Schizosaccharomyces pombe: one gene and its partners. Changing the gene in region 4 together with the main gene of any one other region gives a genetic interaction. Each region holds a gene or a part of one and is shown on either strand. Other genes may lie near its edges. The genes, in order: mms19, tim18, fin1 and spf1.

Region 1 (6,018 bases), on a different chromosome or scaffold from region 4:
GTTCAATGTCGTCTGTTGTTTTGGCATCAGCGCTTAGCAATAATTTCATAGCTCAGAAAAAGGCTTTAGAAATGAATATTATGCCAAAAATTGTGAACACTTTACGGCAGGAAAACCACCCAGTTACATTACTGAAGAAACTTTTCCTATTAAGTAAATCTGTCCAATCTTTTCCTTTATCTGAGGCTTTCATTAGTAAAGATTTAGGATCGGCTATTCTTCTTCAGTTGTATGATTTTTGGTCGAGAAACAGCCATATTGATATTCCTTCTGCTTTTCAGGAGAAACTGCTAAGTAGGTTGTCCATCATCTTTGAAAATATTGCTCGTTCGTTGGAAAATGTCAATTTTAGCAAAGCTTCTAAAGTTATCCCAATAGAGTGGGTATTTTCGACTTGGTGTAGCATCTTTCAAAAGTACTTGATGAATAATTGGCATTTACGCTCAATTTCAACGCTCGAGGTTCTACTTAACACCGTATCAACAATTCAAAGTGTTAGTGAGAGTTGTCCCGAAGTTAACTTTTATGAATGGTTAAACGATAAAAATTTGGCGTACAAAAATAAATTAATTTATCAAGATCCAGATCTTGCTACTGAATTTAATTTAATTATAAAAGAAGCTTTATCTCTTCCTTGGCCTAAAAAATACAATATTTAACGTTTTTATTTTTCAAAAATGACTTATCAAAATCTCTCTTTATATATACCACTTATGACGAGTTCGACTTGCTTCAGTCCTTACAACCCTATATTATTCATTAGCATTTTGTAGTTAACAGTTATTCTTTTCACTAAAAATGAATGGTTCTTACCTTTTAGGATCATCCAAGCATGGTATGAGTCCACGAATTACTTTATCTCTAAATAGTTGTAAATTCGTGGTAGGAGTAAACTCTGGCAGACTTCCAAGACACTTAAGGGCTAAAAGACGAACAACAGTTGGATTATTCATATCCTTAGGGATTGCCAAAAGCGAAGGAATTAAAGTATCAAGATATTCCGTCAATAATGAAGTCAATTCTTTAACCGAAGTATGTATAACGTTCAACGTCGAAAGTTTAACACTAATATCAGACAGTGAAAGACATTGAAGTAGAAGTGGAAGGATAGATGGCATATCTGGAATTACAATTTCTTTTGGCACATTTCCTATCACATTAGAAAGAAGCATTAAATACAAAGACTTTTCTCCTCCAGTAGCAGTTGAAATGTGTTCTAAAATCTTAGGACTAACACTAGCGTAAAAACGTTGTTTGTATAACAGCTTTTCGACATATGAATTCTCCTTGGACAACGCAGGATCGTCTTTGATAATTATTGAAAGTGCCTTGACCGAAGAATCTCCGACATTTTGTAAATTCAAAGTATCCAATAATTTAAAAGCCAAAGGAATGCCCTCGCTATGCTTTCTAGAGACCAAAGCTTTGTCAACCCACGCCAGCACATCGAGTGCAGCTTCAGATTCCTTTGGAGTTCCAGTATAAACTTTATCCCACAAAGACGTGACTCCCTTCGAAGATATAAAACTTGATATATCTTCGTCTTTTTCACATTTGTTAATAAGCGAGGATATGAGACGTAAAGCGCTAATTTTAACGCCAGGACTTTCCGTAACAAAAACAACATTTATGAGTAAATTCAACAACTCAATATTCAACTTTTCGATAAAATGTAATTTTTTACTCAATCCATTAAGACCACCCTGTAATAATACCACTAAATTTAAAAATTTCTGATCACTTAAAGATGCTGCAAGCGTAAATCTTTCTGCAGCTTTTTCACAACCTTCAGTTTCAATTAAGTCGGAATTGGAATTCTCCATATATAATTTCCATAATTGACCAACAAACTTTTCTTGAAATTCAAAATGGTTTACTCTCACTATCTCATTTATTGTCTGTGATACATAAATAAGGCATCTCACATTCATTGACTCGCAATTAGCGAAACAAAGGGTAAAAAGTTGCTTCAGTAGTTCTTCAAAAAAGAATGGAATCTCTTGTTCATTTCGATCATTTCTTTCCTTAAAGGCAACGGATAAACTTTGAACAATTGATTCGACAAGATCAACACTCATTTCCTTGGATTTAAATTGATCTTTCAACATCTCAACAAGTCTGATGACAAGGGCCTTAAACAAACTCCTTTCTTCAGATATTGAGACTAGTACCGATAAATATTGCTTAAAAGTTTCTTCAGAAGATGACTTAGCAGTAACATCATCAGTTAATTTTGAAAATGCGAAAGGAAATGAAGTCAAAAGTAAAAAGTCGGGCTTTAGTAACCCTAAATCCTTCAAACATTCTGTTGCCTTTTTCTTAATAGGATCGGAAAAGTCAAATGCTATGTCATCCAAAAATTGAAGTACCATGGTTAATTCACTCTCTGTTAGGAAGTTCTTGATCGAAGCCATTAAAAAAATAACCTTTAAAGCCAACATGCGTATTTCAGTTTCATCTTTGGCTGTTCCCATCAAGGAGCCTGATACAAAACTAAGTTGCTTGTCTTTGTAAACAAGTAGCGGGTTGTCAATATCAGCCTGGTTTTTGCTTCTCCACTTTCCGTATAAAAGTACCAAACATTTATAGACGTATTCCAAAAAAACTAGCATCCCTTTTTGTTTCTCCAATGGTTCATTTACCATTGGTAGATCGAGAACACTGGGTAAAAAATTGCATGAACAATAATTGAATGTTTCCACAGAGATAGAAGCCAAGGAAGCAAATACAGCTGCACAAGATCCGCAAGATTTAACATTAACATCTTCGAGTAAACGCTGTGATAATTGGATCAAAATCATATCCACAAACTCTGTGAACGAAGATGAAAACCCTTCCTCTTTATAAAATTTACTAGCTAAAGTATTGAGTGCACCAAGCGCCAAATTTTGAAGTTCAGCATCTGTCGAATTTAGTATTTCTTGCTTAATAGATTCCCAAAAGTCTTTAGCAGACCATAAATAAGCACCCACGCGCCAAGTTTTGCAAGCTTCTATATAAATGTTTAATGCATCGATTTTTATGCGAACAGTTGAAGCCTTCAGCCTTTCAAATAAAGCAGGAAGAAGTAATTTTGAAAACGCGTCGTTAGCAACCAAGGTTTCTCTACAAAGGACGGTTAGCAATAGTTCACATGTCATGATGCCTTACCGGAGAGCTATTTTAAGATCGTCGCTAGTAATAGCCAAATTGGTGGCATCAGGCGGAGCACGGAAAGTGATCGGGAAATAACAATAAGTGATATCAAAGAATTGCTACATGTAAGTAATTTCATTAGGCGATTAACAATGAGATCCATACCTGTTCAAATCCGTCAATGGGGAATGTAGAAAGTATTTTTTTAAGCATAGAAAAGACCAGCATAAGATTACGAGGGTCTTTCTCACCAGCAAAAGTTGAACAAATTCCAGAGAAGAAAGCATCGCGAGTTTGTGAAGAGATGACTGAGAACTAAGTTAATTGATGACTCTCCAAAAAGATCCTTACAGAAAAGATAATTATCTATAATGGTTTCAAATACTTTTAAAATGTTTAAACGAGTTGCTTGAGCATATTTTGGCATGTCAGTGGAACTGAAGAGAGCCTTACAAACATCCACAATCTTTTGAGCAGGGAAGTTTTGCATGTTTAGAAGAGCTCCAATACCTAACGCATTCTCCTTCATTGTAACTTCATCATCCAAACGACTCAAGTAAAACTGAAGAAGTACAGATACATGTTTCGCAGGAAGTCTATCTTTAGGAAGCTCACCTAAAGTTTGTGACAGTAATAAAACTGCTTTTGCTCTAACAGAGATATTGTTGTCAGTTAAATACTCTCCAATTGAAGTAACCAAATCGACAATCCCCATTCTGTCAGTGACAATTTCTTCGACAATTCGATCTACAACGTCGTTTGCCTCATCCTGACTTCTATCAATAGAAAATAAATATAAAGCCACTAAATTCGAGCTCATCTTCCTCAAATTTAATATGTACTATTATGCTAACAATTTTCTATACAATAAACACTATAAGAAAAAACAGAATTTCAAAAATTGAGAAGCAGAGATTAGAAACCTTGTCCTCTTTTTCGAAGCTGACTTTCTTCTAGCTAGTAGGTAGACGGCACTCTTCCTCAGTAGATCGTTGAAACGTCTCTCAGAAAATGTGGTTAACAATGGCAAATTGCAAAATGTCATTTGCTATGTATGCTTTCTTTACCGAAGCGAAGTTAAACTAATTAAAGTATTTAGATAATCTGATAAGAATTTGTGTAAATTAAATTGCTTAAATCCATGAATTAAAGAAATTAGAAGAAAGATCGGATATTATTTTCTTTTTTTAAAAATTTGTTTCTTTTTAGCAAATCTCTACTTCAAGATTTTACAATCATACACAAAAACCTTTATTCCATCGTTATATATAGTCACTACATATTAACGATCCTTAAACCACTGCGCTATGTATTCCCTCTCTTACCAAAATTTGAACCGACAGCAAAGTAAAAAGAGGATGCAAAGTTTTAACATTTACTTGAGAAATTGATCAATAAGCATATAAGTATTTAATATAATTATCATCTTAAATTCTCTGTTAGTCCTGGTATGGAAGTTTCGGAGACAGACGAACATCTTACTCGTTTAAACCAGGCTCGAGATATTGTTAAAACTGATCAAAGCCTTTTTCCAGAAATCGTGAGAAACATTCTTTCTGTGGCAAACTATTCTGATATAAGGTATAAAAAATGGATGGCAAATTTCCTCTGGTTTGGATTTTCGAGCAAAAATGTTAAATTTGAGCAGAAATTGGATTTAGCTGTAACTTGTCTAGATACAATTGTTTCTCTGTACGCAGTAGATAATGAAGAAGTTAAAAAAGACGTTATATCTTGTTCTTGCACAATCTACCCACTAGTATTTCTGCACTGTTGTACTTCACCTAACGATTCATCTACCTGGGACACTTTAACGAAGCTAAAAAACGAAATCATTAATGACTTTGACAAAGGGAACAAGCCTCTTTTAATTTCTTGTATTAAATTTATTTCTTGTGTAATTTTAACGCAAGTGCCTGGGATTCGAGATCCCCGTCTTGTAACTAAATCGGACGTGTCTCTTTCTAAGGTTCCCACACATCATCCTTTTATCAATTCAAATATCCTCAGAATAGAAGCAAATGACTTAATTGAAAAAATATTTTCCATCCTTTTCTCGGATTCTTTGAATGTCCTTTACATTACTAGCGTTTTGAATATCTTACCGGTTTTGGTGAAGCGACGGAAGGAACTAGCACCAAAAATCATAGGAAGCTTGTTAGAATTTCATCTTCCGAATCCAAAAGATGAAATTGAGCTGTCGAACGAAAGCAAGTTAGCTATACGGTGTATTGAAAAAAATCTAAAACTTATTTTACTTCATTTAGCTAAGAGTACAGGTGCATCTTCTTCTTCCGTCGAAAAAATTCACGCTTATCTTTCCGGACAAATTTATCATACCAAAGTCGATGAAAGTTTGAAGAAACGGCAATATGAGGGAAATATTAGTGCTGCCTCTAAGCGTGTTAAGTCTTCTGCTGTACAAAGTCTTGTAGAAAGAATGCAACCCCAACTTAGCTCTCACGATGGTTTGCAAAATAATCCCTTAATCAGCATATTTGCTTCACAAACTGCTATAAATCCTCTTGCAAATTTTGATGTAACTTCAATTCCGGTTGAAGTGGCTACTGAAATTGTACTTACTTCTCTTCTTAAGATAGACAAAAACTACTTTCATCAGCAAATTAATATGTTGAGAGAGAGAGTGCGCTCTCTCTCTGAGCCTGAATCCCTTGGTCTTGATCAACAAGTTGATGAAGACGAGGACGAGGATTATGAACCGCCTGAGGTAGATGTTCAGACTATCAATGCTAGTGTAGAACGTGAAGCAGCTCGACTAGAGGGAAGTGCTCCCTCCAATGTCGTTACTGATGCGTTTGAATTACCCACTCCAGATTCGCTGTCCCCGATGGCTATTCTAGAATACTTTCACGGTGCCTTATC
Region 2 (2,899 bases), on a different chromosome or scaffold from region 4:
TATGGCTAAGAACGTTATGTAAATATCGAAAATTGTAACGCAACATTCGATAAATGAGATTAAAACGGTAAACGTTAGAGCATGTCTTCTAATACCTTATCAAAGAATAAGGGAACGAAGCGTACATGGGTAAATTGTTGACCCATTCTAAACGATAAATAATAAATGGGACACCCAATAAAATAATTCAATGGATTTTGTCTTGGAAGAATTATTAATTCAAGTCGACATAAGGACCTTAACAAGAGCTGCCACAAACTTGAATAGTCTTCTAACCACTCCCACTAGAAAAATTATCGTTGAAGGTAAACATAAACATACTGTGCAAGCGCTAAACAGATTTACACAGATAAATTGAGAGGATCAATCAAGCCAGAAATCAAGAAAAGAGCAAAGATCAACTGCAGAATATCAATTGGCAGTTTTGGGGTTTGAACTGGTAAGTTTCAAGCCCAAAACTTACTAGATGACGGATTAAGGAGAATAAAAAAGAAAAAGGAAAGGAATAATCATTATGAAAAAATAAGTGGGGTTATATGGGTTTGCATGGAAAGAAGCTTAAGATTTCCAAAGCTTTTTAATACCCTCCGTAAGGCCAATATCATTCGTGTTGAACTCATAGACGCCAATAAGTGTAAGAACAGTACATCCACGTAAGATCCAGTGCATCAAAGGAGATAACTTCTTAAATCTTCTTGCAGGGAAGTAGTCAATCACACAAGATTCAAACCCCAAGTGGGCATGCGTAATCAAGGTGCAAGCCAATGCAGCGTCCATTAAGGGATGAGAAGTTCCGGTGAACAAAGGGATCATGACTTGAGGAACCATGGCAATAGCAATAATTCTTTCAAAGTCCCAATGATAGCTTCCGTGGAGCTTACTGTGGTGAGGGAAAACAGCAGCATCATTAACAGTTCCCTTAATGGTCTGAGGGGGAGGAGGGAAAATTTTCGCAACACTGGTTGTGCTAAAAGATTTAACTGCAAAAAGAAGACGTCCTTGACGAAGTGCTCCAAGTCCTAAACGTGTTTGTAACATATTGTTTGTAAACCAAGAAAAGCTGGTGGTGGTAGTAGGTGAGTTCGTATTGGCGGATCTTGTGTCCACATTATTGGCCATTCAACAGCTCGATGTGTTGAGCTTGGAGTGGCCGGAAATAGGCGATGAGAACCTAAATCTATCTACTCATAAACGAAAAATTGTATAACATAGAGTAAAGACTAGAAATTTAAATAGATATAATAGATTAATAAGTTTATTCAGAAGAATCTCCGGTCTTTAAGGTCGTTTCAAAACCTGGTTATTACTTTTTATAATAATATTATTCACTGCTGAAAACGAATTACCTTCTACATATAATATTACATGGGTTTTGTGGTGAGTTTGAATATCTATTATAATATTACACAGTACCAAAAGTTACTGCAGTTTCAAAAAAAATTTTACGGAAAGCACTACATTGTGAAAAAACAATAATCTACTGTAAATCTTTTTACTTAATAATATAATATAGATAAAGCTATAGAAATTTACTTGTAGCAATTATGCTAATATAAAGGTGCTGCATTGGCTTAAAAAAAGGTTAGAGAAACGGTTTTAAGAGGATGAAAATTTTATTTAAATTAATATCATTTATATAAAAAACTATTCTCATAAAAAGAAACCATCAAGCTACTCAATAGTCGATGTATAACAATGCTTGATTCGGTGCTAGTCAAAATTCTATAGTTGGACTGTTATTTTTTTAAAAATGTATTAACCGAAATATTGTAATGGAAATCATGGAAAAGAGAATTTCGTTAAGTATAAATAACCTTTTAATGTAGATGAATACGAACTTAACCTGATGAAGTGTCTTACCCTGTCTGATTCAATGTCATATAGATTCTTTTCAATATACCGATGAAACAATATATCCCCTACATAGTTTTTTACCAATGAGATTCTCCATGTTAAGTAGAGATATATTATATCATGAACTGGATTGTACGGTCATTCGTTTCCTTCCTTTATAGCAAATTGCGCACAGGGCAAAGACTAGGCAATCCGAAAGTTTCTGTTTGAATGGTCAACTTCTTATTTTTCTCTACATGGAAATTCTAGTAAGGGATTCAAGGATTGCTAGTTTTCTTTTTTTATTAAATGGGATCAATTGGTCATTTGCCGAAATTCGAACTTGGGACCTCGATAACACGTATTACGCTACACCTCTACGGAATACCTTCTTGCTACCTACTTACCCTTTACCATCCACAGAATCCCACCCAACCAAAGGAGCTTGAATTGATATTACTATGCTGAGGCTTCAGAATTTGCCAAAGCTAGTACGTCGTTTTGCGACTACTGCTTTACCAAAAACAGAAACCACTACTTTAAAAAATGGGCTTACAGTTGCTACGGAACATCATCCGTATGCCCAAACAGCGACCGTCCTTGTGGGCGTTGATGCTGGCTCAAGAGCTGAGACGGCAAAAAATAATGGCGCTGCTCACTTTTTGGAACATTTGGCGTTCAAAGGAACGAAAAATCGCTCCCAAAAAGCATTGGAATTGGAATTTGAAAATACTGGTGCACATTTGAACGCATACACCTCTCGTGAACAAACCGTTTATTATGCACATGCGTTCAAAAACGCTGTACCTAATGCAGTTGCCGTTTTGGCCGATATCCTGACAAATTCAAGCATTTCTGCCTCGGCGGTTGAGCGTGAACGCCAAGTCATCTTAAGAGAGCAAGAAGAGGTTGACAAAATGGCCGATGAAGTAGTCTTTGATCATTTACATGCTACCGCTTATCAGGGTCATCCTCTTGGACGTACAATTTTGGGTCCTAAGGAAAACATCGAATCTCTTACCCGTGAGGACCTTCTCCAGTATATTAAGGACAACTACCGTAGTGA
Region 3 (5,310 bases), on a different chromosome or scaffold from region 4:
GTATGTAAATAAAATGAAATAACAATGAATGACTAACTTTCATACTTCTACATTACAACTAAGTATTTATATGTGTTTGTCAATTACTAGTTTGTACTATATTCTGCTATTTTCATCATTGCTATTATCAATCCGTCAAGTGGTTAATTGATTCATCCCTCATTTGGAATCCTATTTGTGTCACTTCGTATACCATTAATATCCTTTTTTCTGCCACCCGAAATTGTAAAAATTTTTTTTACTTCTATTACTTCCACTTTGTTTTCTTTCTAGACTATTTTTGATGCCGCTTCCATAATCGGCTTCTTTTTGATAAGTCATCTCTCCAGATACCAGATATCTACTCATATACGAATTTACGTATATCTCCATTTATTATCTACGCAACTTATCCTTACACCAAAAAAAAAACAGTCTCTCTTGTCAAGGCTGGCGTTTCGTAGTTTTAGCTAATTCTTTGGTTCTCTCTAATTACTACATCCATGAATTTTTGTTTCTGTGTAATATTATTTCAAAAATTATAAAATTAAATTCCATTTACAATACGGCTCATTCGAATTTGGGGAAAAATATTGTTATTCAAAATTTCCTAATCATCTAAATGTGTACTGTTAAAAGGCTCAATTTACTAGCATCTCATATTCGAGAACTTGTAGATGCAAATATCGTGTTTGTATTCCTTTATTAGTAATAAACTTCGTGATAAACGCTGACCAGCAGTGTTTCATTTCTTTGAATAAATAGAAAACCAATCCTTATAATTAGGGGAAGTTCAACACGGTACGCATTTCAATAATTTCATTTACATTTGGGCCTTTATTTTTTGCTGTATTTTTTTTTTAGTACGCATTTGTGCTAATATAATTCTCGTACAATTAAATGCACCTTAGGGAACTTTACTTAAGCCCTCATCATTCGGGCGTCAAGCATTTTTCGTAGAAAGGGTCTTGGAATTTCTTCTTCATCATCTCTCCAAGACCCGGGTAGTGTTCGAGACTGTAAGCTAGTATAGTTCGAAGTAGATGCCGCCTTTCGTAGTTCCAATCCTGCATTGTCCATCGCTGATCGTCGAAGCTTGTTGTAACCAAGTCTTCCCAGCTGTTTTACAGGCGACCGCTTTTGTCCTTCCAACAGTTGTATCTTTTTCGGAGTCCGTAACACATACTCGTCGGGGTGTTGATTGATCTTCATCGTCTTAAAATTGCCATCCATTTCATTTTCTCTTGCTATCTTCTCTTCAGCATGAACATCATAAGGTGACGCTAGTGATGGTAAAGCATAGCCATGTAAGGTTTTTGAAGCTTTCGAAGGTTTCGACACTTCGTCCGAACGAATATTCAACTTTTCGAGTTTCTCCACATAAAGACTCTGCGGAGAAGGTGGGTGGACAAAAACAGACTTTGACTTCGTATCAGTCAACGTTGAATCAGTCGGGACGGATTCACCACTTGAAGCACTCACTGCCGTTTCATCGCTCTCTACGCTAAGTTTGCTAACTTTTCGATTTGGTAAACCTTCACCGTCTGAAAATTTATTACACAATTCAGAAGGGCTTAGCTTCTTTCCGTCCAAAGATGTGTGCAGCAACTTGTTCATGCAATCCGCCACTTGATTCGACGTGCCGTTTTTTTGCTGTAACGATGTAATTTGGCCATCTTTATCAATAGGTGTAGTCCTTAGAGATGACGCATTAGCTCTGTATTTCATTAATGTTGCAGTCGTATGTAAGGCTCTGCTTGATAATTCTTTACGGAGAGTAGGTCTTTTCAATATCGGTTGTTGTGTAGTTAGAGTGAAACCCGGACACGATAACGTTTGCAAGGGCTTGCTAATTCCTAACTTAGGAATATGAAGTAGGGGGGATTGTGATGCTTCAATTGTACAATCTACAAACATCTCAGCGGTACTGCTTTCAGGTTGTTCATTATGATCCACAGGACTTGTAACACGCATTTTCTGCATAGAGTTTACTACGGTTTGCATGTGTCTTTGATAACGAGCATCCATGTCACGCAGTTGCTTTTCCAACTCACGTCGCAATATCTCTTCACGTTGGGCTAAGCGAGAAGCTATAACGTTTTCGAGTTCACTTTCCCGAGCAGAAAGCCTTTGCTCGCGAAATTGGAGATCATTTTCCAATTGAATAAGCATCTGATGTTTTTTATGAAGCAAATCGCTTTGTTCCAAGACTACTCTCTCGGATTCCAATTTACTACGAATATCGGATAAAATAGGAGAGCGAAGTAGCTGGTAAGTAGTAGGTCTGAGGTCTGAATTAACTTCTAAGCAATGCCTGATTAGAAGGAAAACATCGTCGCTGTAATGATGATCCCAACAGGAGAGATTACCCTGGCAAATATTACGTTGCAATTCCAAATACGACCTTCCTTCAAAGGGATGCGTAAGCATGCAGATCTCAAAAATAACACAGCCAAGAGCCCAAACATCAGACTTCGCACTGTAAGGGCTGCTCCGAATTATTTCAGGAGACATATAGTATGGAGTTCCCACGTAACTCTGTGTGAAGACACGCGTATTGTCCAGCAATTTGGATAAACCAAAGTCTCCTAACTTAACTGAATTATTTTCATCAAGAAATATATTCGCAGGTTTGATATCTCGATGCAATACAGATTGTTTAGGATGAAAAATTTCTCTTGGCCACTGTGAGTCACAAGCAGGCGCATTTTCTCCATAATGGCAGCGATACAGAGCAAGTAGTAATTGCGTAAAAAATTTGAGAACCTCTTGCTCGGTAAATCTCTTTTTCTCTTCTTTATAACGTTGAATAAGATTGGCTAAATCACCATGACCACAATATTCCATATAAAGGTTTATTACCTGCGCAGAACGATTCAATTCTTCTCCGCAGTATTGAACAATATTTGGATGCTTAAGATTACGAAGAATATTCACTTCATCTGCGATGTACTGCTTTTCCTGCCGAGTAATGTTACCAAAGTGTATTTCCTTCTGAGCCAAAAGCTAAAAAGTATTAATAACTATAAAAATAAATTGCTTTCAAACTTACAGCACCATCCTTTAAGCGTTGAACCTATAATAGTTAGCATAATGCATAAAAAAGGAGTTGCAAAAAAAAATATCGATCAAAGTTTCAATTTGAAAAACTGTTTTGAATAGAGTACAAACAATAGCGAAAAGCATTTAAATCAATATAGTTTCCCTGTTTCTTAAGAAAACAATTGATTCAATGCTATAGATTCATTTGCCAACCACAAGTAGTTGCTCGCAAATAAACTGAAAACAAGAAAGAATTTTGCTATCCAATAACCAATTTCAGTGAAAATAAGATTAAAACTTACTTTATAAATCCTTCCAAAACTCCCATGTCCAATACACTCAAGAATCTTGTATTTTTCCATACTTCAGAACAGAAGTAGCCCATGAGATTCAGGTAAGCTTAAAATAAAACTAAATTTCTCGGTAGGACCTTTAAAGAAAAAGAAAAATTCTTCTATCAATTAATAATATAAAAAATACTGCTTGGAGTGATTGAGTGCTAAGTATATGAATTTCAAGCCAAGATGTTTATGTTTGGTTCTTCTGCAGTGTCTCGTTAAATCATCAAGTGTAAACAATGTTGCCATGGTTAGGAGTAACACTGTTACTTCAGGTGCTTATTGCTACGATTATAATATATATCCAGTCGCATTTTAATTTCTGTAAGAAAAAGATACGCTATTCAATAAGCAATGAGAAAAAGTTGTGGAGAATTTTTATCATCTATAATGCCTTTTATGACATGATTGTATAAGGTTTGTTGTAAATGAGCTTGGAATTTAACAGAGTCCTTTAAATCAAGTTTTAAAAAAATGAATAGCTAAACGTATTAATATTAGTTTGAGGCTTTCAAAAGATTTATCTGCATGTTTTATAAAAATCAATAGCATTAACAATAAACTGTTATTTTGCGTTAATTGGTTTTAGTGATCTACGCTAGGCTTCATGATTCATTCCATGCAAGCCATCTCCTTCAAATGAACTTACCGCTAATTTATATACGTTGCAAAACATATGTTACACAACAGTCTATCACAAGACTCTAGTAATATTGCCGGAAACATGTCTTTTGGGGGAAGTGGTTCTATCACGAATCGATCAACCTTAAAGCCACTTTCTGTCGATGATTTACGTTCGCCCTCTCCTCAAAAAGAATATCGTGGATTTCGAACATCTGTTTCTAACATTCCACAAGAAAAAAAATTTGTTCCCAGTCATCTTTCACACTTTGGATCAAGTCAGCAGCGTCGATTTGCCCCAGAGGTTAGCTCGCCTTTAGCAGAACCATATGAGTCATCGTAAGTAATTTCTTTGAAGAGTTTAAGGGACATTTGAAGACGGAGGATTAAAAAATTGTTTAGTATAATTGCTTTTTTACCTAATATCTATCTATATCCAAATTTGTTAGAGCTTCAGCCTAATCCCTATGAATTTTTAAATATTAGACATAAACTCTTAGAACCTTTACTAATTTTCTCTAAATAGCTCTTCCTTCCGTTTATCTCTCTCGAGTCCCCCTTCTTCAAAATTCGGCGGACCCAGCTTTGGTACACCGAAACCGTTTTTGCATACAAATCGTTTAGGTACCGGATCTTTAATTGAAGATGCTCCTCCTACTCAATCCATTTATGACTTTTCTTCCTCTAGGCAAATTAATGCTCTCAATGTTGGACAAAGTTCTTCCCCTTTTTCTCCTGTCTCTGAAAAGGTATACGACCCTTCTTTTACCATGTCTGGCGCTCCTCAAGATTCAAATACCTCCGTTATCGTTTTCGGTTTCCCACCAGAATTGACAAATCAAGTAATAGCTGAATTTTCTCGTTTTGGAACTATTATTAGCGAGAATTCATTAACTGCTTCAAGTGCCGGATTCACTCCCTCCAAGGGTCCCATATCTGGTAACTGGCTACAATTAACATATGCTGAGCCTTCTTCTGCTGCCAAAGCAGTTTTGTCTAACGGAATGTTGATAAATGACTCTTTTATGGTTGGATGTATATACAGCCCCGCAGAAGCGAAGGAGCATGTTCCGAAAACGTTAAGAAACAGCAATAAAGACTTGGAAATGACGGATGCCTCTTCCTCCGAAACCTCAATGTCTATTCCCGTGCATGCTGATGCCCATTTCCAATCCCAATCTGGTCTTGGTAAAAAAGTCATTGTTCAACACAAAAATGATATTTTTAAATCTTCTCAGAAACATCAACCTCGTAATTGGTTATTTCATTATTTATTTGGTTTTGGTTCAACTGAGCCAATAGATGAGGAAGAAAAATCTAAAACTGCTTC
Region 4 (4,277 bases):
AAAAATAGTGGAATAATGGATATATCCATTTAGGCATGATTTGGCGAACTCTCACCCAACGATAGTCCTCTGCTCCTCGATTATAACCTCCTTTACGGTAATAATTGTAAGTAAGACGCGCGGACCATAGAGTCTGCAAAAATGCCATAATCATTAATCTTCGCGAAGCAATGTTGTATCCCAAACCATAAAACAGAAAATGCAAGGAAAAAGCCGTTGGCAGAATTGGCCATAGCCGATCCACTTGCGATGTATTTTTCGTCCAAACAGACACTCCCCAAAGCACATTTCCCAAAATAAATGAGAGAAGTAGTCCTACAACAAATGGATTCGTATTATAATAAAAATCTGCAAAATTCAACTTTCCAGTAAACAGTAACTTCAAATTGCTCAGTTGATACAGGTAAGGAGATACTGCAACTTTCCATTTTGCGGCATCAGATGCCGAATAAATAATTGGCATGGTGGATGCCAAAGTCATAGTGCTCGTTTGAAAAAGAACAATGGGAATGTCAGAAAGTTGGCTTTCTATAGCTCCACGAAATCCTCTGTCTCATTGTGACGTTAGCTTCTGGAATAAGAAGGATTAGTGAAATCCAAGGAGCCTGCGTTTTCCAAAAAATAAAATAAAATAAATTTCAAAACAAAAGAGAGAGAAAACCTCAAGGCCATTAAGACATGAGTTGATAAAAAGAGAGGGTGTAGAATGTATGTCCTTATGTTAAAAAGTGACTTTTTAGAAGGAAAAACCAAATTACCATCTGTCAACATTATTTTGCGAAACAGGGAGTCAATAAATTTAAAGCCAAAATTAAGAGACAAATGCCAAGCAATATAAACTTTTCTTTCATTAACATTTGCGAATCAATGCCTCGTGATTTACATGAAATGATCTAGAAATTAAAGCAAACTTCAAAATTGTAAATTAAACCAAAAGATGCATCCTTCTGTTTATTTTAATAAATTAGCCATTTTTTCGGGAGATAACTGTTCATGACAAAATCGAGCATAACCGTCGTATTGTATCCCGGGTAGGCACCTCTGTTTTTGATGCTCCAACATTACATCTTTGGCAGTTTGCTTCATGTTTAGTTTTTGTAAAATATTACTTTCTTGCAACTCAAAATCTTCGGTAAAAATTACCTGCCAGCTTGTGTGCTTTGCACATCTTCGCTTCTCTGTAAAGCAGGTGGACTCAGGAGAAGGATCTATACTCATGTCAAGAGATAGCGGTGCTCCATTTGAAACTTTTTCCCACAATTCATTCATTTGTTGTTGATTGAATAAAAGTCGAGAATCGAATCCACACAGATCTTTCTTAATACCTTCTCTTTCTTTGTAAGCAAGAACCGCTCTCCGCGAAGAATCTTTGATCAACTGAAGAAATATTTTTTTGTTAGATGCTACTTCTTTCTCTTTATTTAATTGCACAATTTCTGCGTTCAGCCTATTGGCCTCCTCAATTTCAAAATTGTACACAACTTCAGGAGGAACTTGGCTTGGCAATGTCGGTCCCACCGTACCCAAATTTTGAAATTCTTCCCTTTTTTTTGCAAACAATACAAGATTTTTTATAGCAGAAGGTTCAACCGTACTCAGCTTTACTTTTTCTCGAAAAAAATCGACTCCATGTTTATCACTACAATAGTTGGAATTAGGTCTTGTGGGATTCGAGCATTCTCGTAACCGGCATTTTCTTTTCCAAGTAGTTATACCCTTTCCTTCTTCTGTGCATTTAGGACAAAAGTACTGTACAGTTAAATCATTATAAGATTCAGGTATATTAACGCAAGTGCCATGAAACCAATCTTCGCAACCATCACATCCTAACATCCATGATCCATCATCAGGCTTTTGGCATATACAATACAATGGTCTTTGATGATCGGCTGTAGACAGATTGAGTTGGCTATTCGCATTTCCTCGGTGTTTTCGTGGACCCCTTCTATGAGCTGATACGGGTGGTTTTTTGGGTATTGTAGGCTGTTGAATGACTTGCATTTCTATGTCTGTTTCCGTTGAGGAAGAATCAACGTGACCGTTGACTTCTTCAACCTCCATTTTAACAGATTTATTGAGAATTACGTTGGCGTCTTTCTCTTCCTCATTGTTAGCTGTCTCGATATGAAAATCAGTAATGGTGCCTCTATTCGAATCCTCAAATTTTACAATTGATTCTACATGAGTTTTTTCATTTTCCTCAGTATTCTCTTGCGTTAATTCCATTATTGGAATTTCAGTTGTCTAAGTCTGTCAATAAGTAAAATCTAAAGAAAGCGAGCTTAAGCACAGTACACTAAATGCATTAAAAGGAACTACAAGCCAAACCAAAATACAAAAGAAATGGGGTCTGTCAAAACAAGTTGAAATTTAAACAAGTCGTATATTAATATCAAGCTTAATTAAAGGAGACAATTATTTCAACCTTGACGGACGAACTAACCATGCCTATATAACTCACAGAGGTTACTGCGGTATCTTCAAGAAGATTAAACAAAAAAAAAAAAAAAGGAAAGAACGCAAATACACCAAATAATAAATATTTTTAGCCCAGATAATCTCATCCAAGACAATCACTAATGTAGCAGAATTGGATAGAAAACAAGACAAAACTGCAAAAGAAGATTCCATTAAATTTCGTGAAATTAAATCAAATACTCATAAACACCCAAATATTAACCCAATTTGCGAAGGCCAGCTCGTGTTCTGTGTAGCTTTTTTTGGTTTGCATATGCTTCATTAGAAAGCTCGTCTAACATGGAGTTTTGCTCGACAACTTCTTGATTAATCATTTTCGAAAGCTCCTTCTGCCTTTGAATAATAGGCAATAACGATTCTGCTTGCATATCTTGATCTTCCATAGTTTGATTCTGCATGTTGTACAGTCCTACATTATCAAGCTTTTTTGTTGTCTGTGTCTCTGGCATTCTGTTTTTTCCAAGGACTCTGTTCAAAGAGGTATTAGATTGTTTGTCAGTAGATGCAGATAATGGGCGAAAGGGAGAACTAGGATTAGAAGAGTTTAATTGAGATGAGGCAGAAGGAGGAGCGACTGGGCTGTTTGCATTTTTAACTAACCGTTTAAATGACAAGAATTCAGAACCAAGCTGTTCTAACATATCTTTTCGTCGAAGGATTTCTCCTGGACCAAGAGCATTTGCTAATTCTAATTTGTCTAACGATTCTGAAAGGTTATCCATTAGCGACTTTATTGCATAGACATTCTTTGTTTGAACTCCTATCGTAATGCTTTTTCCACTCATTAAGTCAACTCGGTACATATGTAAATTACGTTTACAATCTTGAAATACTTGAATCCAATCTGTCGGACCCAAAAACTGACCCTGTGTTTCATCTTCCGATTCATCTTTAATATTTAGAAATTTTTTAACCACAGGCATTTTTATCCATGGCGTTTCTGAAAGGCATTGAACGTAAGCTTGTAAAGCAAGTCGTCGAGATTCACGTAACTTTTCATTTGTCACAGTTGAAGAAACCCAAGATTTAGAGGGGAGTTTGCAAAGTCTACTGTTGTAGTCATTTGGCCGAATTTGAGCATCCAAAGCAACGAATTCATTGAACCGACGAAATACAACATGTTTCCCACCATTCGGAAATGCTACTTCAATATGGTAAACCGTCCATCGTGAATATTCATCAGAAGACTAGTTGTAAGTAAAAATTAAAGGAATAAAGCTTACTTGAGACGTTTCTGGTATTTTAATTTTTAGCGCCATACTTGCTATGAACAGGTTGATCAACAATGAGTTCATGAACAACAGACTACTGTATCGGATTTACTGCACTATCGTTATAAAACTGTATAATGTAGAATTTGAGCTTTCAAATAGTATAGGTTCTATTAGTTGAATAAAGATAAATTTCAGTTTCATGATGCTTTAGATCCTTTAAACCTCATGTTTTCCTTGATGCGCGAGATGCCTTTACGATTATCGAATTGGCAGGTATTGAAAGAAAGTTTACCAGTTTGCAATAGATTTAGAAATTAAAATAATGAATTAGGTTAGTATATTATCTTATACCTTTAAACACTTTATAGTCAGATTATTGAGTATTTTTTTTGGCACTCGTGAACGGTGCAACTTACAAGTAATTACAATACCTAAACAGAAGAACGGCAAAATCTTAACGAAGCTTAGTAATAAACAGAAATTGTTTATTTTCTATATTTTCCTACATGGATTGGTTGCAAGCGCGACTTGCCTAAAGTATTAAAAGCACAGAATAAACGCCAGATCGTAACATTATGCAAAAGT

The links.
Region 1: mutations in spf1 (region 4) and mms19 together harm fitness more than expected from each alone (negative genetic interaction), as found in Schizosaccharomyces pombe (2 studies listed by BioGRID).
Region 2: mutations in spf1 (region 4) and tim18 together harm fitness less than expected from each alone (positive genetic interaction), as found in Schizosaccharomyces pombe (2 studies listed by BioGRID).
Region 3: mutations in spf1 (region 4) and fin1 impair growth when combined (synthetic growth defect), as found in Schizosaccharomyces pombe (2 studies listed by BioGRID, with this or other methods).

What each region holds. Positions count from the first base shown.
Region 1 is NC_003424.3:3,856,360-3,862,377, reverse strand, and holds mms19 (TFIIH regulator Mms19 ), read right to left. Parts: upstream 4,161-6,018; 5' UTR 3,956-4,160; coding exon 3,487-3,955; exon of another isoform or gene 3,444-3,486; coding exon 3,301-3,443; exon of another isoform or gene 3,255-3,300; coding exon 3,151-3,254; exon of another isoform or gene 3,106-3,150; coding exon 814-3,105; exon of another isoform or gene 748-813; coding exon 699-747; 3' UTR 660-698; downstream 1-659. Other genes in the region: protein Sil1, read left to right, coding at 1-659. UniProt on the Schizosaccharomyces pombe protein: Key component of the cytosolic iron-sulfur protein assembly (CIA) machinery that mediates the incorporation of iron-sulfur cluster into apoproteins specifically involved in DNA metabolism and genomic integrity.
Region 2 is NC_003423.3:2,034,239-2,037,137, reverse strand, and holds tim18 (TIM22 inner membrane protein import complex and succinate dehydrogenase (SDH) anchor subunit Tim18), read right to left. Parts: upstream 1,079-2,899; 5' UTR 1,039-1,078; coding exon 559-1,038; downstream 1-558. Other genes in the region: SPOM_SPBC29A3.21 (uncharacterized protein), read right to left, coding at 1-46; MPP complex beta subunit Qcr1, read left to right, coding at 2,295-2,899. UniProt on the Schizosaccharomyces pombe protein: Membrane-anchoring subunit of succinate dehydrogenase (SDH) that is involved in complex II of the mitochondrial electron transport chain and is responsible for transferring electrons from succinate to ubiquinone (coenzyme Q).
Region 3 is NC_003424.3:1,352,433-1,357,742, reverse strand, and holds fin1 (NIMA-like serine/threonine protein kinase Fin1), read right to left. Parts: upstream 3,523-5,310; 5' UTR 3,384-3,522; coding exon 3,324-3,383; intron 3,056-3,323; coding exon 3,032-3,055; intron 2,986-3,031; coding exon 901-2,985; 3' UTR 559-900; downstream 1-558. Other genes in the region: nucleoporin Nup40, read left to right, coding at 4,084-4,319, 4,507-5,310. UniProt on the Schizosaccharomyces pombe protein: Promotes chromosome condensation and nuclear envelope dynamics during mitosis. Activity appears at metaphase-anaphase transition.
Region 4 is NC_003421.2:363,253-367,529, forward strand, and holds spf1 (Set1C PHD finger subunit Spf1), read right to left. Parts: upstream 2,231-4,277; 5' UTR 2,227-2,230; coding exon 952-2,226; 3' UTR 508-951; downstream 1-507. Other genes in the region: SPOM_SPCC594.04C (steroid oxidoreductase superfamily protein), read right to left, coding at 1-481; vsl1 (SNARE protein Vam7), read right to left, coding at 2,676-3,665, 3,702-3,737. UniProt on the Schizosaccharomyces pombe protein: The Set1 complex specifically methylates 'Lys-4' of histone H3.